4 linked regions of the Arabidopsis thaliana genome follow. The protein of the gene in region 2 interacts with the protein of the main gene of each other region in a pairwise test. Each region holds a gene or a part of one and is shown on either strand. Other genes may lie near its edges. The genes, in order: EMP1, AT3G57220, ERD2 and AT3G08930.

Region 1 (5,386 bases), on a different chromosome or scaffold from region 2:
AAACTGACTGGATCTGTGAACTGGCAATTGCAGAATAAGCTTATCACTGTGACACCGGAGACCAAGGTCTTGCGTGCTATGCAACTGATGACAGGTAAGCAGACAACTTGATATTTTTCCACTAAAGATACAAGCTTTTGGGTTTAAAACCTACTGAAGCAAATAAAAATGCGGGTTTGTGTTTTTGTAATGTACAGATAACCGAATCAGGCATATTCCGGTAATCAAAGACAAGGGCATGATTGGAATGGTGTCCATAGGAGATGTTGTCCGTGCAGTGGTTCATGAGCATAGAGAGGAGCTTCAACGCCTAAATGCGTATATTCAGGGAGGTTACTAGATCTTGAATAATGGAAAGAAAAGAGTTCCCTGTTGTGTCGTCTGGTCTTGTGCTGCTGAATCTGAAAAGCTTCCAGATCAGTGTAAATATGCAGTCCTCGTTGTTATTGTTGTTGTTGTTGTGTTTGATGTTTTGTGTTGTTTCGTTGTTTAACTTGTCAAAACTAAGGCCTTGTGCTGCTTCTCTTCTTGCGCTTACTTAGCAAGAGAATAAAACCAAAAACTCTGATCTCTTTATGAAAGATATGATGTTTGTTTTTGTTATCAAATCTTGCGTCAAGTATCCATGTGTGTTATGAAATAATAGAATTACTTTGAAAATTTGATTTCGGTACAAAGTTTCCGTGTCTTTGGACCATGAAAAATATCTTAACAAGTAAACCAATTCTTTGAATACAAACAAGTAAACCAAGGCAAAATATAAAACGATAGATTTTCTTCAAATCAAATCGATTATGGTGTGGTCACAATATCGTCTCTCAAGGGATCAAACTCCGGTGACCAAGCTTGCACCATGAGATAGCGATCAAACGCCCTCCATGGACCTCCTGTCAACGCTGCCATGTATTCCTCCTCCGCTTCGAACCGAATCATGAAAAACTTACGAGGGAGATCCACAACAGACATTGCTCCTCGTGGTTTCCACATCTCTCGAAGCTTTCTACTTAATGCTGATATTGTCATGTTACGCCCGGGCACTTTCACGATCAAGCTGTTCTTCAACAAACCATTCATCGCCGCCAATACCTCACTGCCAATTGTTATCACTGGTTCTCCATCCTCACCATCAGGGAACTCCAGTGTCATTTGCTCAGACACAAACTCATCATCTAAGATATCATTCGGATTTAGGATACCACCTAAATGTCCCCCCACCACTTTCTTCACCCACGAACCCGGTGCATCAGGAGGGTCTCCCGGAGAATGACCTTTCTCTCCTAGGTCCGTCATGGTCACATCTTGCGTTTCAGATCTCAAGCCTCCGGCGGCGTCGCCCATTTTCTCTCTATCGATTATATTGAGACCACATTTTAACACAATCTTAAAAATGTATAGCAAATGCTTAAAAATCTTGATTGACTTTAATTAATCATGGTTTATCGGATTGGTTTATCCTAGGGTGGGCTTATCGAGTTAGGCCCATTGGTTATGTAGGCTTATAGCTCGTAGAAAGACTTCATGCGTAGTGACGTGGTGAATTATTAATGGTTGATAAGGATCAAACATAAACGAGCCAAACCGGAAAAATAAACCGGGAAGTATTAAATCACAATTAGAGGCGGGTCTTGGTCTCGAGTCTCGAAGCGTATAAGAGTCAAATACAACTGTAGCGTAGCTTCAGATCTGGTTATTTTCTTCCTTCGTGTGGAACAGCCATGGCTATGGAGTTTCTGAGGAGCAGTAGAAGAATATTGGAATCTTCTGGATGCGCGATCGCTTTGATTTTTCTGCTCTTCATCCATGGAGCTCACTCATTCTATCTCCCAGGTGTTGCTCCTCAGGATTTCGAGAAGGTAAAAACGTTTCGAATTTGTGCTTCTAGGCTTTTAGATCTGATTTGGATCTCCTGGATCTGCGTTTCGATTTCCGCTAGGATTAATCCGTTCTTGATTCCCGAGAAAGCTAGAGATAGTGAGAGTTGGAGTGCTGATGCACCGACTTTTGGTTTAGCTATTTTTCTAATAGAATTGGTGATTTCACTTCATTTCCGCTTCACTAATCTCTCGATCTGAACAATGTAGCGTCTTAGGCGAGCTATATCGATATTTATTCTTCTGGATTAGCCTTATTCGCTGTAATTTTGATTACCTTTGTTAGGTTCTTAGTGATCTCTCGCTCTTGATTCGCTTGCCATTACTACGAAATCCAAGTTATGGGTACAAGGGCAATGTCGGTCCTGCATGTTATATGACGAGTCTCAATCAAAGTAGACTTGCATGTTTCACTTCAAAATCATATTCAAATTTTGAGTCTTGTTTTCTTGTATGTTGCAGGGTGATGAGCTGAAGGTGAAAGTGAATAAATTAACTTCCATAAAGACTCAGCTTCCATACTCGTATTACTCCCTTCCTTTTTGTCGCCCTAGCAAGATTGTGGACAGTACTGAGAATCTTGGAGAAGTGCTTCGGGGTGACCGGATTGAGAATGCCCCATACTCGGTTAGTCTCGTATTCAATTTTTAATTTTGTAATTCATCAGGCTGTCAAAAATATTATGTCTGTGATTTAACTCTAACCCTTGCGGGGCTGAAACAATTGCAGTTTAAAATGCGGGAGGCACAAATGTGCAATATTCTCGGCCGGGTCACTCTTGATGCCAAGACAGCTAAAGCGTTTAAAGAAAAGATCGATGATGAGTACCGGGTCAACATGTAAGACCAAATACAGGCACTTTTCTTTGATTATTTGTATGAAGAACATGCTTTTCTCTGTCAGTTTTATTATAAGTGTTTCTGGTCTGTGTTAGGATCCTCGACAACCTTCCTCTGGTTGTTCCAATTGAAAGAGTCGACCAGGGTTCTCCCTCTGTTGTTTATCAGCTTGGTTATCATGTTGGTCTTAAAGGCCAGTACGAGGGGGTAAGTAGGTTTTAATTGTTAAGACACTAAATGGAATTCATGCTAGATCGTTCGATTTTCTAATTTTGTTTTTGCATACGCAGAGCAAAGAGCAGAAGTTCTTTATGCACAATCACTTGGCATTTACAGTCCGCTATCACAGAGATATCCAAACTGATGCTGCAAGAATCGTGGGATTTGAGGTTAAACCTTACAGGTGCAGTTCTTGTTCATAATTTGAATGTCTCTTGGGATCCCCTGTCATTCAGAACTGATATTCCCTCCGTTGATTTGTAGTGTGAAGCATGAGTATGAGGGAGAGTGGAGTGAGAAGACCCGTCTGACGACTTGTGATCCTCACACGAAACGCCTGGTCGTTAGCTCGGCTACCCCTCAAGAAGTTGAACAAAAGAAGGAGATTATCTTCACATATGACGTCGATTTCCAGGCAAGTTTTTTCTTAAGTAATCTGCGGTTTGTGTCTTAAAAAAATTTCATGAATTCTTGTTTTCAATAGTTTTTCTGATTTCCTCTTCTGTTTCTGTCCAGGAAAGTGAAGTGAAGTGGGCATCTAGATGGGATACTTATCTTCTGATGAGTGATAACCAAATCCACTGGTTCTCTATCGTCAATTCTCTGATGATCGTCCTATTCCTATCTGGTATGGTGGCAATGATAATGCTGAGGACCCTTTACCGTGACATTTCACGATACAACGAGCTCGAGACTCAAGAAGAAGCTCAAGAAGAGACAGGATGGAAGCTTGTCCATGGTGATGTTTTCAGACTTCCTACCAATTCTGATCTGCTCTGCGTCTATGTTGGAACAGGGGTCCAGTGTCTAGGCATGGTATTTGTCACAATGATCTTCGCCATGCTCGGATTTCTCTCCCCTTCCAATCGGGGTGGTCTGATGACTGCAATGCTCTTGCTCTGGGTCTTCATGGGACTCTTTGCTGGTTACGCCTCTTCACGTCTCTACAAAATGTTCAAAGGAACAGAGTGGAAGAGAATCGCTTTCAGAACAGCCTTCTTGTTTCCTGCAGTTGTGTCAGCAATCTTCTTTGTCCTAAACGCTCTCATCTGGGGACAGAAGTCATCTGGGGCTGTCCCCTTTGGAACAATGTTCGCCTTGATCTTCCTCTGGTTTGGCATCTCAGTTCCTCTCGTCTTTGTTGGGGGTTACATTGGGTTCAAGAAGCCAGCGGCTGATGACCCAGTGAAAACCAACAAAATCCCGAGGCAAATCCCAGAGCAAGCTTGGTACATGAACCCGGTTTTCTCAATCCTCATTGGAGGAATCTTACCGTTTGGTGCAGTCTTCATCGAGCTCTTCTTCATCCTCACATCCATCTGGCTCAACCAGTTCTACTACATCTTTGGGTTCCTCTTCCTCGTCTTTGTAATCCTCATTGTGACTTGCGCCGAGATAACCGTAGTACTCTGCTACTTCCAGCTTTGCAGTGAGGACTACCTTTGGTGGTGGAGATCATACCTCACATCAGGCTCATCAGCTCTCTACCTCTTCCTCTATGCCACGTTCTACTTCTTCACAAAGCTTCAGATCACCAAACTGGTCTCTGCGATGCTTTACTTTGGGTACATGCTCATCGCCTCCTACGCATTTTTTGTGCTCACAGGAACAATAGGGTTCTATGCTTGTCTCTGGTTCACAAGGCTCATCTATTCCTCTGTTAAGATCGATTAGAGGATATGATGATCATCATGGCGATTAAGGAAACAAAGAAGAAAAGGTGATCATAGTTTATCTTATTTTTCTTTTTAAAATCGGTTTTGTTGCATTTTAGGTTCTATTTTGTTGCATACCAAAAGAGATTTTAATATATGTAATAGAGTGTATTTTGTTTGATTTGTCAAATAACAACACTTTCTGAGAATTTTTGCAATATAACCAATTTTTATAAATAAACTCAAATGAGAACAACAATCAATCATGGTTTGGTGATATCAAACTCTAACTTTTCCTGCAATCATAAAAGCTTTGTAAACGACGGAACGAACCAGATCAGAACCTCCCCAAGCGGTTTCAAGCTCTCTCACCAAACTCTCCGGTAACAACTCGACGCCTTTCTCTCTCGCCGTGACGATGGCCGACCATGATTTAAACATCCTTATGATCCCTTCAAACGACGTCGTTTTAGGCATCTCCAGCTTTAATGGCTCCCCTTCTGATCCCATCCCAACATTTTCGAAAGGAAACGGCAATGCTTCGTACGAATCGAAGATGTGCTGAATGTACGGATACTTCCAAAACGGCAGCGTTGTGGCGTGGAGCCGATACTGGACGGCGTCGAACTCTGGACTCACTATGACGTCGTTGTATCCCCAGACAGCGATGATTCCGCCTGGTTTACGGAGGAGTCGTGTGGCCACTGAGTAGAACCTAGGGAGATCGAACCAGTGTACGCCTTGGGCGACCGTGATTAGATCCACTGAGTTTTCTCCTCCGATTAATTCCACTAGCTCGTCG
Region 2 (5,382 bases):
GCTCCTTTATCTTCATATGTACATGATTGATCCTCAGCATTACACACTTGTGGTTTTTCTTTCCTCTCGCTCTGTTTTGCTAGGTCCTTATCAATTAGGAAGGTTCTGCAATTACGTTTCCAGAACTCCTGTCATCAAGTATCAAATTATCTCTCTACCTTCCATTCTTCAGATTTATGGTTTTCCTGAAATGTGAAGTTTGGTTTCTCAACATCTTTAGCTTCTTATGAGTCACTCAGCTGATGTCACAAACAGCTTCATGTTGACTTAAACCTTACAGAAACTTAATGTTTCAGACTGAGAACATGAGCAATAATTTAGAAGAGAGTACTTAAGTCAAATTAGTAGCAACCAGGCATTGACAAGTACTGATAAGGTTGTGGACCATAACAACCAATAAGAACAACTTAAAAGAACTTATACATGTTGGACGTATGATTTAGTAGTTACTGCATTGTTTAAACTTTTCTTGTTAAAATCTTTCTTACACTTTGATACAAAAGAAAAAGATGGTCATATTCTTAAATACTTTATAGTTTGTGCCTTTTTCATGTGATACATAACTCTGAAATCTAAAATAAATTCTTATTACATACAGAAACTATTCAAGGTGGAGACATTTAGGAAACCGTACAACACACAGAAACCAGTCCACTTAACATTTTACCAAATTAATAAGTTTAATAATATCATCTCTAATCCAAATTTTGAACCGCCATGGTTTTTGTAAGCCTTGCGCCGTCAAAGTTTAGATATCCGCCATGGTTTGGGAATGCTGAAACGCCGTAAGAGAAGTTTCACGCTCAGACTCGTACCCTTTTTGGGTATACTTTCGGATGGCTGATTCTATGGATCTTGTTTTGCGAAGACGATGAGCCAAGCCAACGCCATGGTTTGTGCGCCGCCGCCGCCATATCTGCCGTGATTTGTGAATTAAACGCTGGGACAGAAGTTTGCTACTCGTAGCCTTCTTTTTGGGTATGATATCTGAGCTTTGATTCCAACCGTCGAGACTAAAGCATCCCGTAGTCTCATTGAAGGTTTCTTCTAACTACAGCTATGCGATCAAGGTTCTGACCACAGCGAGCCTTACAAAAGTCAATGTACCTTATGTAGACAGTTGCATTCTTAGCAGTGAGAGAGGACTCACTGGGTGGCTCCATAGTTTGAATGGCTACTGACACAATCCTCAAGCCGGAAAGATCATGATCCGTGGTGGTCCTATCAGATATGGCAACAGAAAGTTCCAGATACAGACGAATCCAGTCATTGGCTCGCAGCTCTGATTCATCATCCACCACGTAAAATCGGTTTCTGTTTTCGAAAGGGTTCTCCAGCGGGAACTCAGGCAAGCTACCCATGCGGTAGAATTCTCTTTCCAACGACGTTTTAATGATTGTCCCTAAAATATACAATGATGAATGAAATACTAGTTGTTGTAATAATAATAATGATGTGTTAATGAACACGCCTACCCAAGTAAGGAGTCACATGTAGTATAATAATAATTTAATTACCTGGACGACGTCTTTCAGCAATAAAGGAGGTCAAAACAAGCCGGCCACAAGCTTCTTCATAAACGGAAGTCTGAAAAGTAAAACGCCTTCCACTAGATGGCTGCATTGCAACCAAAGTAATGTAGAAACAGCAAGCACCAGCAGCCAGAGTCCTGTTGTATCTCTTAACGTGAGAGAGCTTTAAGTTTGTCCCCTGATAAATCAAAAACGAAATTTGAATAAAAAGAAGAGCAAGAGTGGATAAAGAAAGAGAAGAAAGGAAGACAAGAGTCTTACACTTTGATTAAAAAAAAGATAGTATAGTTAGTAATTGCCTAATTAATTTCACAAAGAGAGATGATAATCAAAGAAGTTAAATAAGTCTATGGGATGCATTCTTAATAGTAATCTTGTTAACTTCTTTCTTACATTATGAGTCTTTGATTATATAAAAAAAAAAGATATTAGTAATTTGCCTAATTTCACATGAATCCCATAGACTTATTTATTTCTTTATACTTTGCTTTTTTGGGCCTTTTTGATAATTCATAAATAAGTGGTGTTGATACGATGTCGTATTGTTGTGCGTGGGCAAGTTGTAATTAAATGCTACAGGCTTTGAAGCTTCAGCGAAAAGTGGAAGAAGCAAATCCAGAGGCGGGGAACCAGAAATAGCCAACGGATCCGCCATGACTGCTCGTAAGAGAACTCCTTCAGTGTCCAATTCGGAGAAACTAGCTCTACCTGAACCTGCATCTTCCCCGACGGTTCAGAAGACCTCTGTTTCCGGAGAGGATTTCCAGCTCGCGCCGCCGAAATTGGGCGTGATTTTCGTGATCTCTTCGCTTCTGTGTTCGCTTTATCTTTACCTTCTCTGTTTCCACTACAATGTTGACAATGAGCTCAAGCGTCCGATCCTCATTAACGCTGGGCTTAGCTTGGTTGGATTCTTTGTCACACTCAAGTTGATTCCTGTAGCTGCTAGATACGTTCTGAGGCGTAATATGTTTGGTTTTGATATCAACAAAAGAGGCACTCCTCAAGGAGAAGTTAGAGTGTATGTTTTTCCTTCTTAGATTTGTCTTTGTTTAGTTCTCAGATTAGTGTTCAGCGTTTTTCTAGAAATGGATGTCTCTTAGATTTGATTTTTTGTATAGGAGGAAAACTATGAGATGTCTCATTTTCTGATTGATGTTCTATGGATGTTTACGCTTGATTTGATCTCAGGGGACTTAAAGTCTTTTGATGTGCTTATTTTCAGCAATCTTATTTCTTTGTAGGCCTGAGTCATTGGGAATTGTTGTCGGTATTGTCTTCTTGATAGTGGCGATTGTATTTCAGTTCTTTAATTTCACTGAAGATTCGGTGGTAAGTGTCCTGGTCTCAAAAGCTCAAGCTTGATCATTTATTTATTGTGAACTATGAACTTGGTAGCTCTTGGCTCATTTACTTTGAATGCAATTTATCAATCTGGCTAAATGACTCGGTGCAGTGGCTTGTGGAGTATAATGCAGCACTGGCGTCTATTTGCTTCATGATATTGCTTGGATTTGTAGATGACGTCCTTGATGTGCCTTGGAGAGTGTAGGTGCAGTTCTCATTTTGTTGGATTAAAAATTCATGATTTAGTTTTGTTTTCTTATTAACTCTTGTCAATTTGCAGGAAACTTCTCTTGCCATCTTTTGCAACCCTTCCACTGTTGATGGCTTATGCTGGACATACAACTATCGTCATACCGAAACCTTTAGTTTCTTATATTGGCTTGGAAGTGTTTGATCTAGGTACAATTCATCTTGTATATAGTGTTAAACCATCAATAGCTATTTTGAAATTCATTTCCTTAGTTGTATATTTATCGTGGCAGGACGTATATATAAGTTATATATGGCGCTACTGGCTGTCTTTTGCACAAATTCTATTAACATTCACGCTGGTTTGAATGGCCTTGAAATCGGTCAAACCGTAGTTATTGCAGCTGCTGTAAGTTCTGCTGTCAAAATGCGTCGCAATGCTTCATTTTTTTGGTCCCATTTTTCCTTCTGTTGGTTTCTCGTAAGTAAAGTTATGATAAATCTCAGTAACTTGTAGATTCTGATACACAACGTTATGCAAATCGGAGCATCTGTTGATACTGAGTATCATCAAGCTCATGCCTTCTCAATCTATCTTACTCAGCCATTGATGGCAACATCCTTGGCAATGCTTGCCTACAATTGGTAATCTTTGGATCTTTCAAGTCATTTTCTCTTAAATCAATCAGGTAAACTAGCAAAGCAGAATGCTTTCTCTAACCACGTTCATGTCCCCTCTTTGGTGATGTTAGGTACCCTTCTGCAGTTTTTGTTGGAGACACTTACACAGTCTTTGCTGGAATGACTATGGCAGTTGTTGGCATTCTCGGTCACTTCAGGTATACTTCTAACCATACCGTCCTTATTGCAATGTACTTAGATTCATCATTTACATTTAACTTATGTGTGAGCCTTCAATTAACTAACTACTTATGAAACTTTGCTTTTTGCAGTGAAACCCTGTTAATCTTTTTTCTTCCTCAAGTGTTGAACTTTTTACTGTCACTTCCGCAGGTTTGATACCTTTCTCCATCTCACACTTTCTGTTACTTTTCAATACATTTGAAAGCATCTAACTTGCTATTGTATAACTCTTCAGCTTGCTGGCATTGTCAAATGTCCACGACATCGTCTCCCCAAGTAAGCTATTTTTTGTCCATTTTTCATAAGAGGCAAAGCCAACAAGTAAACAACACATGACTCTTCCTCTCTCTTTTTTAAACCAGGTATGATCCTGCTACGGGACTGTTAACAGGAACAAAAGATGGGACACTCGTGAACGTCTACTTGAGGATTTTTGGTAGGAAAACAGAAAAGTCTCTATGTATTCATCTTCTTGTTTTCCAGGTAAACTTGTTAATGCCCATATTATCATCTCTAAATACAAGTTGGTTTATTCTGAGAGAGAGAAATCACAAGATTGGTGTTTTGTGTGTTCTATTGCAGGCTCTTGCTTGCGCATTTTGTTTCATGCTTAGGCATTTTCTAGCTGGTTGGTACAAATAAATCTCTGCAACATGAAGAAACTCTAAACCTGTTCCTCTTTTCATCTCTCTCTCTGCCTTCACAAATCATACAAACACAGAACTTGTTTTGCTTCATGTCCAACAATCTACTAGAATCATCGTTTTAGTTCACTTATATAGAGAGTTTTCATCTAAAGGCGAGTGTATCTCAACAATATAAAGCCAATGAAATGAATCAGAACAAATTTGTCTTGGAATTTAAATTTAACTACAAATGCTGATCTTATTTTGATAACTTTGATTAATAAACTAAATAATTTTTAGATTAAAGTTTTGCTAATATAGCATGCATTAAATGAAGTGTCCATTTACATATATTTTTGAATTTTAAAAATGCGCTTTTAATATTAGACAGACTACTGTCGTACTAGAATAATAAAGAATGTAATAAAAAAATAGAAGGAGAATCGGAAAAGAAACCCACTTATAGAATGCCATGTGTCAAAACATAACAAGCGAAGTATGTTTATATAGTAAGAAAACTCTTTTGCCCTAAATATCCCAAATTGTCATATGTTCTTTCCTTATGTGGCTCTCTCTTCTCTTTCTCTTTCTCTTTCCTTTTTCTCTTTCGATCAACAAAACCACATCTCTGAACTGAACCAATTTCTCTTCTCCCCCTTCCGGTTATCGGATTACCAGATCTCGTTTCCCGCGATCTAGTTTATTCTTTGAAAAAGGTAAATGTTCAATTTTTTTATTTTATTCAAAATCTCCCCTGGATTCAGGAGATGATGATTTGAAATTGACGATGATGTTTGTGTGTAAAAGTGATAGAAGCAGAAATG
Region 3 (5,082 bases), on a different chromosome or scaffold from region 2:
CTTTAACCAAGTTTTGCGTTTTGCAAATTACAACTAAAGAATCCACTAAAGCTAACCCAACTAAATTCAAACATTTTTCTATGTGATCAGTTTACCATCAAACTATTTCATATTTTTGCAATGTGTAGTAAAAACTTTCTTTGTTACATTATATGCTTCTTTTATAAGCAAAAATACCATATTACATTACATGTTCATTTCATTTTTGTTTGGTATTTGCGCTTACAATTTACAAAATGATTTTGTTTGATACTATTTACATTTACATGTGAAATTATTGTGTTCATCGTAAAACGTTCAAAATTTCTAAAAATTGTAAGAAATTATTGTAAATGTAAACAAAGTCGGTTTCCTATAAAACCACACGTCTGAACCACCTTAATCATCATCACAACATGAAATTACAAAAGCAGCGACTTTGTCGATTGCCGTAGTTTCATTGTAGCATAGATAATCCCGTCACGTGATGTTATCTATTTTTAACTGTTTCAATGTAGTCAGAAAAGCTATTTGTTTGATTTCAGAACTGTTTGATTAGTGGCCATTGAAAAATTCTATAATCTATAGTCAATAGTCTATACACAATTGAAAATGGTATAGTTGATTTTTTAAAATACGCCATTAAATAAAATTATATATAGAACTTCTCTATAATCGATAAAGTCGAACACTCCAGGCAACAAGCGGACCGACCACGGAGTCTAACGTAAGAGTATTATTAGTGATACTGTAGGTTTTCTTTGACTAACGATAAAGAAAAAACAAACATGTTTAATTTCTCGTGTCCTCTATATTCATGAGTCATGACGTTCATACAATTTATTCTTGTTTTAAATGACGTTCATACATCATTTTCATGGTTGTCTATTAGTTCACTAGAAAAACGAAGTCTTGAACGTTGAAGCGAAGCATTGAATATCATTTTATAATTTTATGGACTAAACTATACATTTCAATCATCTTTGCAAAAAAGAAAAAAAAAAATGAGTTAGATCATAAGGAGTCAGGACAACAGCTAGCACAAAAATCTCAAAATCCTATACTGTTTAACCCAAAACAACCGTAGAACAAATATTATTATACACCCAAAAAAAAAAACATATTTGCAATCACATTAGTTTGTAAACACTTCTATTTCGTTCCATAACCAAAAAAAAAAAAAAAAAAAAATCAACATTCAATTTTTTATTTTAAAACATGTTTGCATATGTTCATGGTATGACATTGGGTATTAATCTATCACAGAGAGCTAAAGCCCATATAAATAATAACAGAAGGCCCATATCTATTAATAACCAACTCTTAACCGGTCCATTCTAACTGTTTTTCTCAAATACAAAACACGTGGATAACACGAGGAATTAAAATTGAAGTTAAACACCACACCATGTCGCGTACGAAGCTGCCACATCACTGTTCTATTAACACGTGGCTTAATATGATGCAATATAGACCCACCGATAGCTGGCGCTTTCTAGTTTACCAAGGTGCGACGTACCAGATAACACCACCTCTCCACTTTTGAAAATTAAAACGCTCTCTTTTGGTAATTATTTAGGGAAACTTCGATAATTAATCGAATAATGAAGGACTAATTTGCAGTTTTAAGGAAATAAGTAAGCACACACGTTAGAGAAGAAAGACCGTTCCAGATTGCCACGTCATCGTCTCCTCTCAACGAGTTTCTGCAAAACCTGAAACGTGCTGCACCTTGCCTCTCTTTCTCTCTCTTCCTTCGTTTCTCTCTCGATTTGAAGAGAGAAAATTCGTTCGATTTCGTTTTCTCTTCTTCTTTTGGATTTTCCCGGAAAATTTTGGAATCGGTGAGTCTCTATCGATTACTGGTCAACCATGAATATCTTTAGATTTGCTGGCGATATGAGTCACTTGATCAGTGTCTTAATCCTTCTTCTCAAAATCTACGCGACGAAATCTTGCGCTGGTGAGTTCTCTCTCTCTCTCTCTCTTTCATGAAATGTGTTGTGTATATTTTGAAGACGAGCTCGTAGACGAAACAATCGCATTTTGCTTTGACCTTTTGTTTTCCTTTCCATAGCTTTCAAATGCAATCTTATTTGAATCCTGTTGAGGTCTATTTATCGATTTCGAGGCGAATCCGAGTTGGTAGATTGAAATTGCAAGTCAAAATAGTTGTGAAATCTCAATCTTCGAAACCACTATGGAATTTCTAAACGAGTGAGATCTCTCACCCCTAAATTGCATTAGGTTTAACGGAAAATTGCTACACGGAATGGAAAATGCTTGTAGATGCTCATGATTTTCTCATAGATTGTGCAGCTCCTAACATTGTTGCTGTTGACTTTTGGATTTTGTTGGCTAGGAATCTCTCTCAAGACTCAAGAGCTCTATGCGCTTGTGTTCTTGACTCGGTACTTGGATCTGTTTACGGATTATGTATCTCTGTACAACAGCATCATGAAGATTGTCTTCATTGCCAGCTCTTTGGCTATCGTTTGGTGTATGCGTAGGCATCCACTTGTGAGGAGGTCATACGATAAGGACCTGGACACATTTCGTCATCAGTATGTTGTGTTAGCGTGTTTTGTACTGGGACTTATCCTGAATGAAAAATTCACAGTTCAAGAGGTATTTTCATATGAATTTCACATTGCTTTTGTGTTTTTAGGTTGTAGAGACTAGGAAAGCGAATACTTGTTGTTAGAAGACATGCATATGTTGTGTAATCTTGTTTTTGGTTTATTTATTCATTTGATTCATTCGGTTCCTTCTTCTTATATCATTTGGATTTGGTAACTATCTTGGCTAGTGTAGAATAGAATATCGTCTATGTAAATGAAACTGAACATAACTCCTTCCAGAACCAATTAGGAGTCCGGCGTTTATAGTTTTATTTTTGCTTGTTTAAACGTTGTACTACCTATGTAGCCTCTCACTCGCTGATTGTTTTGAGAAACTCTTTGAATATCAAACTGTTGCATCGTGAAAGGTTTGTTTGCTTCCATTCATGGAATCTTCTGTGTCCTACCTACCTATGTTCCATAAGGTGCCCCATGGATTAGTGTCATCTGTATCTCGCTGTTACTTTTCTGGCCATTGTGTTCTTTGATTATCTTGTCATAAGAAACTGTAGTGACTCCTTATATGCACTTCACTAAGATCGTTTTCCCTTACTACCTTCATATGTATTTTTCCAGTATATGCTCTTGGTAAAGATCTGATCTTTGCAAACTGCCTTCACTCTTTAAGTATTTTTGCAGCATTGTGGCCTCTCTGTGTTGATAGCCAGAATCATTGTGCAATATGTTAATTCTGTGCATTCCAAACCATTTCAGGTGTTCTGGGCGTTTTCTATCTACTTAGAGGCAGTTGCTATCCTTCCCCAGTTGGTTCTGCTACAAAGAAGTGGGAATGTCGACAATTTGACTGGGCAATATGTTGTCTTTCTCGGGTACGTAATTCTAACCAGACATATGCGTTTGCTCACTTGATCTCCACTGGCTTCTCTGTTGGGTTTGTTTTTAGAATTGGTTTATCTTATATATATACTGTGTCTTTCACTGCTCATGCACTTGTTAACTTGATCAATGAGAATCGCTCTCCAGTGTCATTGTGGTGTTTAAAAATCAGTGCATATTTCTAAAGTCCAGACATTGTTTTCCGTTTAATGTTAATGCGTCTGGAAGCTGAGCTGAACTATATTTTTTTCTATAAAGGAAATCAGACTGCTTTACATCTTGCTATGCATTTGGTTCTGATGCATACCTTTGTGTCCAGTGCACAATATTTCAATGTGCAAAATTGAGTAAGTATTCTGTATGCACTCACATGGGCAATGATTAACATGCAGGGCGTATCGGGGACTCTATATTATCAACTGGATCTATCGCTATTTCACAGAAGATCATTTCACTAGATGGATTGGTAATGTTTCAACAAAGAAGCACTAAATGCATTTTAACCATTTGTTTTTCCTCAATGCTAATGTTTTACGTAAATCCATTTTCCAGCTTGTGTGTCTGGTCTTGTCCAAACAGCTCTCTATGCGGATTTCTTCTACTACTACTACATAAGGTAAAGTAACCTCACCAGTCTGAATAATATTCTCTTTATAGTTACTGATCATGTTACTGACTTTGGATCCTTTTTGATTTTGTTGTAGCTGGAAAACCAACACCAAACTTAAGCTTCCGGCTTGAAAAGAACCCGAATTTTTTTGCAATAGTATCAAAATCCAGGAAGTTACAGCAATGGTGACATTAGAAAAGAAAGACATGGTTAACATTTGGGTCCTCCCTCTTTCTAACAATGAGTTGAAAATTGAATGATGCAGGATTGTTGTTTAAAATGTGTTTTTTTTTTAGTCTTTAATGCACATTGTAACTTTCCCGACGATTTTAGACATTGAGAAGAGGCATCGTTTTATCAAAACTAGTCTTTATAGATAACACACAAACTCTGTTTCTTTTGTGCGAGTGTTTAGTTCAAAACTGTAGCTCAGATCAGAGCCAAGTTAACAATGTGTCTTCAAAACTTAAACCTAGTCTTCTTGATTGTGTTTCACTATCTTGGTCTTCTTCTTGTGCTCTCGTGTCTTCTTGCTTCTTAGCTCGTCTTTCTCTTCACCTTCAGAGACTTTTTCTCTACTGCGTTTCTCTTTCTTTGACTTTTTTGTTTTGACCGGAGCCTTCTCAATCTCGTCTTCATTCTCCTCATCGTCTTCACCCTCAAAGACTATTTCTCTACTGCGTTTCTCTTTCTTTGACTTCTTTCTTTTCACAGGAGCCTTCTCTGTTTCATCATCTTCCTGGTCCATGATCGTCATCTTCTCCTCTGTGGCAGCCTCAGCCACTGTGTTTGCTACAGCTGTCTCTGCTTCAACCATGAATCCAATCATTTTACAAACATACTAACAGAGGAATACAAACATAGATGCGATTTGTGAACGGCATTAGAAAACAAACAAACCTTCTCCAGAAAAGCCCGAGTCGAATACAAGACCTGTAAGATGCTGCTTCAAGAAAACCTGCAATAAAACAATGATATATAAGTAAGACTCAACTTCACCAAAAAAATACTAGTCCAAAGGTTGAAGAGCATACC
Region 4 (6,578 bases), about 18 Mb from region 2:
TCGAGATATTCGGGTGATTTTGCGCCTGGGAACCATAGAGGCCGGTCTGAGATAACCGTCTTAGCCTTTTTGGGAGATGCTTTCTTGGTTCCGAATCCGAACCGGGCTGTGAACCGGCTTGAATTGGAGCTAATGTCGGAAACCACCCGGGTACCCATGATTGAAGAAGCAGCAGCGGCGGTTGAAGTGGCGGCCATCTCCGGCGTCGTTAGTTAGTTCTGTCGCGTTTGCGGTTTGTAACTTATCTGAAGCAAATGGCGTTTTTAAGTGGCGGTATGTGTGTGGGAGAGATCTCAGAGAACGAATCTTGACGGTTAGATGGAGAAACAAATCCATCTGACGGTAGGAAACAAAATCAGCCTTATCTATAAAAAGCTCGCGTTATCTATCCTGTCTGTCTTTTAGAGTTAGATGAGGCAAGCAAGCTGATTGGGCAAAAGAAGCTATTGACGAATCGCATAGCAACGCCACTTGTCACTTCAGCAGCACATGTCCACTTGTATAGTTGTATGCCTTGCATACTAAACAAATTCAAGAATATTGATAATCCGGTTAGGTTCGGTTACAATTGTCTCAAACCACAAAGGAAGTCTCTGTCTTGTAAAAATTCGAAGAAGGCTTCTCATTAAGAAAATATGATTACATGATCGCATCCGAGACAGTACAATAGACCAAGACAGGACAGCTAACTGTTGCGCAACCAAACAGCACACTCACAAGAAATTTAATAATACATTCAGGAAAATAAACCTCAGAAGCAGAGTCTCTAGATACTTCTGGAATCGATGATGATCCAGAAACAAGTAGAAACTTTGTCGACAGCACTCAATCAGATCCCCGTGAAAACGTTTTACATTAAGAAGAGAGCTGGAAACGGCCACTAGTTTTTTTTCTTCTCCATCCCTGCCAAAACACCAAAGACCATATGATTCTACAAATACTTAATACAGAAGAGAAAACCCGAGGAGTAACATCAACGAGGACTTACAAAGGCAATGTAATATAGGAAAGTCAGTCCAGCCAGGATAACAAACCCGATTTGGAACACATTGTACCTGAAATATAAAACCTCAATAAGACGCATCACGGATATAGCATATGACTGCTATATGTTATACCACTTCTACTTACTTGTAAAGGTACTTAATTCCTCTAAGGGACTGCAATGTGTGGCCAAATATCTCCTGGGCAGCAGTGGCTTGAGCGTAATATCCAAATGCAGTGGCACAAAATTGAATCACGCTGCATTTTAAATGAACCACATTACTCAGACTGTGAGGATTAACATGTAATTGTGAGGGTAGCAGCTGTATATTAAAAGTCTTGGTTTGACATCTAATAGAGTACAAAGGATACCCAAGTGCATGAGTAAAGTAACTATAAACTTCGATTCAGGCATTCGCCGGAAAGGAAATTAGTTTTAGTGATGGCATGAAAACACTGATAAGTTAATGTATGCACATAAACATGCTTGATCTAGATCCGTTTATCAGAGTGCACTTGATCCCAACAGATACAAAGGCAGAAGAAGAGACCAGAGAGACTTACCTGATTGAACAAAGAAGAATGAGGCCGACATTGAAGAGGAAAGAGTTCATTAGAGTAGCTCCCCATCTGAAATAAGTTGATATGGCCAATCAGCAATCAAGAGAAGGTAATGAATGACCTTGGAAAATAGCCAAATAATGTTGAAACCGGTTAGATGGATTACTTCATTGGATGAATGGTAATGAAGACCAGCTTCAAACCCAGCATCATTGCCCCAGCGATAACAGCAAGTAGAAGGTAGAAACAGAAGAAAGCAAAGGCAGCAGTGCCTAAAAGACCTGGAGATTTCCACACGTACCAGCATGGAGTCAGTTAGAAACAAAGAAGAAACCTTATACAGGATAACAAGGACAAAAGTATGAACTTACCCCAAACATCATCAAGCTTAATGAAAACCTCGTTAAGAAAAGGGGAGAGAGGAGGGTCGACGAGTAGATATATGATGATGTGTGCAACCCAAGCAATGGAAACGATCAATCTACAAAGACATTAAAAATTTGCCATTTAAAAAGACGCTTAGCTCGGGAGCTTAAGAGTGCAAACCTAAATATGCAAGAACTGTATGCATTATGCATGATTTATACAACATGTAACAAAAAAAAATGCAAAGGAGGTTTCTGCTTAGATGTACTAACCCTACGATTCCAAGAATAAACTTGGCCAAGTATCCGAGCACAGTGAAAGCCCATGCAGTTTCTGCCTGGAAAAAGGTACCAGGGAATAAAATAGTTGAACAAGAAAAATATTATAGTATAAGTTCTAAGATACACTCGTCTTACCTGCTCTCCTTGAGGATACATCTCTTCTAAGAGGTTCACATCTTCCTCCAATTGGAGCAACTCCTGCAGGGTTACCACATTCAATTATAGGATTGAGGGGACACAGCTTAAATCCACAACCAAGCAAAGAAAAGCTACCAATAAAGTCAATAACCAATTCTACTATCTCACTAGCTTTTCACTACAAGTTGTCATTCTCATAACTCCACAGACGACCAAAGCCTCTTTACACACAAGGGACCAGTATGAATAGGCAAACTTTCCAAGTTGCTACTTATGAAACAAAATTTAGATAAGATACTGAACCTTGAGATATATGAGGTACCTTTTCAACTGCTTTCACATTTTTCCGCCATTTCCTGCCCTTAGCACCACTTCTTTCTTCCTGATGAAGTCCATCAGCTGCTTTCTTTAGTTCTCTTGCCTTTTTACCTAGTTCGGTTGCCTCCTGTAATATATTTATGGAGTTAATCATGCAAGAGACAGAGGGATTGACTCAAGATCTAGAGAGATGCTTCCAGAGGAGAACAATAACCAGACCTTTATATATTGTGATCGAGTGATAACAGCCTTTGGTCGCCTGATGAATGCAGTGATAAGTCCTAATGGTAGACATGCAATACCAACACCACCAAATATCTAGAAATATTTGAGAGAACAATTAGTTATCAGATTTTTTTTACTGAAATGTATAAATCAAACATCTATTTACTTCAATGGATACAGAATTATATCTTGCCATGCATCTCATCTGTTGAGAGTTTGTGTTAGTCAATGAAGAATCAACAATATAAGACAGATTAAATCCTTTCAAAGCAAACAATGCACTTCTCAACATGAAAGAACAATGGTCATACCGTGAAAAGAACTGACCCAACAATTGTCGCAAGAGCAACAACATATTCTGGAAAAGTAGTACGCATAGTCCATGTTTTCTCAGATGTGGGATTAGCTGTAAATGCTGAGCACTGCATTGATAGCCAGAGACAGGAATATGTTAAATGCTGAAACTCTCTACGGCATAAATGACTCATGATATAAAAACTAATGCTAATGCTACATTCAAGAGGCAAACATACCTGGCGAGCAGTGTTACCTATGCATGGTTGAGTATTTGAAAACTGCCAGGAAGTAGGGAAAGTGGATGTGGCAGAAGCCAAATGCCTGACCGAGAAGTCCACCTTTCCAATGACACCTACATGATGAAGATGTTACCAATAATGTTAAGGTATTCCTAGCATATAAATGGATAAGATAGATATCTCAACCCAAGCCCTGATTGGGTAATTTAAAAGCCAAAATTAACATAAGAATGCAGTCAAATCATAGAGACCAACATCAGATTCATCCTTGCCACATGCTCACTAATGGATTCAATAACCACTCCAGCTAAACAAGTATAACCTCCAGACTATCGTCATTCGTCAATACAGAAAGACGCTGAATTTCAAGTCGACAAAAGAATTGAAAACAGAGGAACAACTAACCATATAAAATTCCAAGCACCAGAGCACAAACAACAGCCGTGGTAACTACCCAAATTAAGGCACTTTTTATCCTCTTTCCAAGAGTCCTGTGAAAAAACGAAAGAAAAAAAGCCCACAAATTGTCATCAGTATTCGATTAACTCAAAACTTACAACATAGAGATACTAAAATTTCATCAAGCTACGAACTTGTCCTGGTCGCCTTCATAGAAAAACATTGCGAAGGGGATGACAAAGAACACGAGAATAGCGTCCACGATATAAATAGCAAGCCAAAGATCCTTCATGGGCAAGGTGAGATTGCAAGCTCCATTGTATATAGCATGTCGACAAGCATGCCGATTGGCCACATCAGCCGGTAACATGAGAATCGAGATCATAGCAATAGAAAGGCCAAAAACAACGACGAATTTGGGGAAATAAGCCTGGTTTGCATCATCTGGATGCTGATAGTTGACGAGAAGATAGATGCTAGAGATGAATACGATGACGCAAACAACGATCGCGACAATCACGAGAGCGAGGTTGAAATCGCCCATCGTGTGCAATGTACAACGTCCCCAATTCGAGAGATTTCGATCCCGGAACGATTTGGAAGATGTAGCACCCAATTGCAAAGGCTAGGGTTTTCTAGGAGTTCAAATTTTGAAAATTGAATTTGGGGATTTTAGTAGATCTGGATTTCTTTCTTTTTTTCCCTCTCGAAAACCAGACGAGGGAAGAAGAAAGAGGACTGGGAGAGGATGAACATTCTTGTAAATTACGAAGCTACCCTCAACAATGTGCTCTCGTGCCTAATGGCTTTGGGTGTAAACGTAAATTGTTACTAGGTTTGGAGATTAGCTGTCCGAAGCAAATGATTCGGACAAAATATTTCAACTAATGAAAGACATCTGTAAGTAATAAACCAGTGACCAATTGTGTAAACCGGACACAATTTTAAAAACAAAAAATGTCTTCACACTTGGCTCCAAAAAACCAATTTAACGACTCTTCTGGCCAAAAGACGGTAACAGTACAAGTAGTTTGAGTAAATAAAATGATACACCTCCTATCGTGGCGAACCGAAGCTCTTCGGTCCCTTCGATCTCTGGAAAATCTCCCTCGGATACTCGGTTAAACCCTCCGGTTAACCACCCTAAGCTTTTGTACCCTTCTCCGTGGAGCTTTGATACAGCCGCCAACGACCTGAGAATGAGATTGAAAAGCAACACCATTTATAACAACCAAACCGAACCAAAGAGTTCAGTTTAATTTATACTATCCAAACCAAAAGATTCTATGATCAAATCGATTGATTAATAGTTTATTTAGTTTGATAAGTTTCTCTAAAATCTGGACTAAAACTGGCAATGATTAACCAAAATGCAACATATAAAGCTGGTACCTGAGTCCTTCACCGCACACGACGAGCACTTTACTCTCTTTGTCCGGGACAGCCTCCACAACACGGAGGGCGAATTCGTCATTGATCATGGTGAATCTCTGGCCCGTCCAAAGCCCAATATATCCCAAATGAATCCATTTCTTCAGCAACGTGATCGGCCCATTGTCTGGATCTTCCACGAACAGTGGCACGTGTAAGGAACCTTTCACGCGTGCCTTTTCTCTTTCCCAAGCCGGCCTCACGTCTAACAGTATATATCCCTCCGACGCCACAACCGCATTGGCTTCTTTGGGCTCCACCGCCCGTACCTTGCCGGAAAGTATCAGCTCTTTACCGGAAACGGCGGAGATCACTGGTAATCTGTATGATTGTCGGAGGCGTCGGTTTAGTACTACTGGTAGCTTGTGGATATGGTTTAGCTGAGGAAGAAGAACTGTCATCTTTAATTCTTTTGGATTTTCAGAGGAATTTAACCAATGATATTGTTCTTCAGATTTTTCATTTTAAGAACACCCCAAAACTTCTTACTTATTTCCATTTTAGGCCCTCAGATATTTCATAATTTGACTATCACCCTCGCTTAAAGTAAAGTAACAAACATATACTAGTGGGGTCAAATGTTAAATAATAAATATATAGGGCTACTAAGTGTAAATTTCCTCTCTTTGAAACGACACCGTGATTCTTAATTCTGATAAGGTTTGACTTTTGAGCTAGGTTTGCCGAACCAAAAACAGAACCGGTAAAGACCAAATAAAAGAACCGGTCGGGTATTTCTTGTATCTCGATAAATATTTCGAACCGGTACGGAATGATCCGCTAGAGTTTTTCCCATTGAAGAAGATCGAGTGAAATTCGAAGAGCGAATCAAAGAGGAAGAAGAAGAAGGAGGAGGTATAGCAATGGGGGTCGATTATTACAAGGTTCTTCAGGTGGATCGGAATGCGAAAGACGACGACTTGAAGAAAGCTTATCGCAAACTCGCCATGAAGTGGCATCCAGACAAGAACCCTAACAACAAAAAAGACGCCGAAGCCAAATTCAAGCAGATCTCCGAAGCTTACGATGTAAATTAACAAAATGCGTTTTCTCTTTTCAGAGAGATTCCCATCTTTTGCTTGAATTTGAGCAATTGTGTAGTTTGTCAATTCACTATGGTTACTTCTCTGGCAATTAAGTAATCTTGATTTGCTTGTAGAATTGTGTTTGATAGATTCCTTATGCTGTTGGATTTTGTAAGGTTTTGAGTGATCCTCAAAAGAGAGCCATCTATGATCAATATGGAGAAGAAGGTCTAACAAGCCAGGCTCCGCCTCCCGGAGCAGGCGGCGGGTTTTCGGATGGAGGGGCTTCGTTCCGGTTCAACGGTAGAAGCGCA

What was found.
Region 1: the proteins of AT3G57220 (region 2) and EMP1 interact in a protein complementation assay, tested with the Arabidopsis thaliana proteins (one large-scale study listed by BioGRID).
Region 3: the proteins of AT3G57220 (region 2) and ERD2 interact in a protein complementation assay, tested with the Arabidopsis thaliana proteins (one large-scale study listed by BioGRID).
Region 4: the proteins of AT3G57220 (region 2) and AT3G08930 interact in a protein complementation assay, tested with the Arabidopsis thaliana proteins (one large-scale study listed by BioGRID).

What each region holds. Positions count from the first base shown.
Region 1 is NC_003076.8:3,424,127-3,429,512, reverse strand, and holds EMP1 (Endomembrane protein 70 protein family), read left to right. Parts: upstream 1-1,615; 5' UTR 1,616-1,715; coding exon 1,716-1,853; intron 1,854-2,333; coding exon 2,334-2,498; intron 2,499-2,600; coding exon 2,601-2,710; intron 2,711-2,805; coding exon 2,806-2,917; intron 2,918-3,000; coding exon 3,001-3,113; intron 3,114-3,193; coding exon 3,194-3,344; intron 3,345-3,445; coding exon 3,446-4,603; 3' UTR 4,604-4,825; downstream 4,826-5,386. Other genes in the region: CBSX3 (Cystathionine beta-synthase (CBS) family protein), read left to right, coding at 34-94, 198-340; AT5G10830 (S-adenosyl-L-methionine-dependent methyltransferases superfamily protein), read right to left, coding at 4,864-5,386.
Region 2 is NC_003074.8:21,172,331-21,177,712, forward strand, and holds AT3G57220 (Glycosyl transferase family 4 protein), read left to right. Parts: upstream 1-2,064; 5' UTR 2,065-2,185; coding exon 2,186-2,553; intron 2,554-2,776; coding exon 2,777-2,864; intron 2,865-2,988; coding exon 2,989-3,080; intron 3,081-3,159; coding exon 3,160-3,278; intron 3,279-3,361; coding exon 3,362-3,477; intron 3,478-3,585; coding exon 3,586-3,713; intron 3,714-3,820; coding exon 3,821-3,907; intron 3,908-4,021; coding exon 4,022-4,082; intron 4,083-4,167; coding exon 4,168-4,208; intron 4,209-4,294; coding exon 4,295-4,415; intron 4,416-4,514; coding exon 4,515-4,574; 3' UTR 4,575-4,864; downstream 4,865-5,382. Other genes in the region: AT3G57210 (uncharacterized protein), read right to left, coding at 1,032-1,402, 1,518-1,623; AGL16 (AGAMOUS-like 16), read left to right, coding at 5,380-5,382.
Region 3 is NC_003070.9:10,257,676-10,262,757, reverse strand, and holds ERD2 (ER lumen protein retaining receptor family protein), read left to right. Parts: upstream 1-1,525; 5' UTR 1,526-1,851; coding exon 1,852-1,942; intron 1,943-1,949; exon of another isoform or gene 1,950-2,196; intron 2,197-2,341; coding exon 2,342-2,607; intron 2,608-3,314; coding exon 3,315-3,430; intron 3,431-3,829; coding exon 3,830-3,903; intron 3,904-3,989; coding exon 3,990-4,053; intron 4,054-4,141; coding exon 4,142-4,178; 3' UTR 4,179-4,510; downstream 4,511-5,082. Other genes in the region: AT1G29320 (Transducin/WD40 repeat-like superfamily protein), read right to left, coding at 4,520-4,854, 4,948-5,005, 5,082-5,082. UniProt on the Arabidopsis thaliana protein: Required for the retention of luminal endoplasmic reticulum proteins. Determines the specificity of the luminal ER protein retention system. Also required for normal vesicular traffic through the Golgi. This receptor recognizes H-D-E-L.
Region 4 is NC_003074.8:2,711,336-2,717,913, reverse strand, and holds AT3G08930 (LMBR1-like membrane protein), read right to left. Parts: upstream 4,603-6,578; 5' UTR 4,353-4,602; coding exon 4,003-4,352; intron 3,901-4,002; coding exon 3,815-3,900; intron 3,523-3,814; coding exon 3,407-3,522; intron 3,296-3,406; coding exon 3,185-3,295; intron 2,967-3,184; coding exon 2,868-2,966; intron 2,776-2,867; coding exon 2,653-2,775; intron 2,391-2,652; coding exon 2,328-2,390; intron 2,249-2,327; coding exon 2,184-2,248; intron 2,027-2,183; coding exon 1,917-2,026; intron 1,827-1,916; coding exon 1,712-1,826; intron 1,615-1,711; coding exon 1,549-1,614; intron 1,243-1,548; coding exon 1,132-1,242; intron 1,056-1,131; coding exon 989-1,055; intron 904-988; coding exon 856-903; 3' UTR 548-855; downstream 1-547. Other genes in the region: LHCB4.2 (light harvesting complex photosystem II), read right to left, coding at 1-197; AT3G08920 (Rhodanese/Cell cycle control phosphatase superfamily protein), read right to left, coding at 4,797-5,001, 5,201-5,640; AT3G08910 (DNAJ heat shock family protein), read left to right, coding at 6,103-6,267, 6,441-6,578.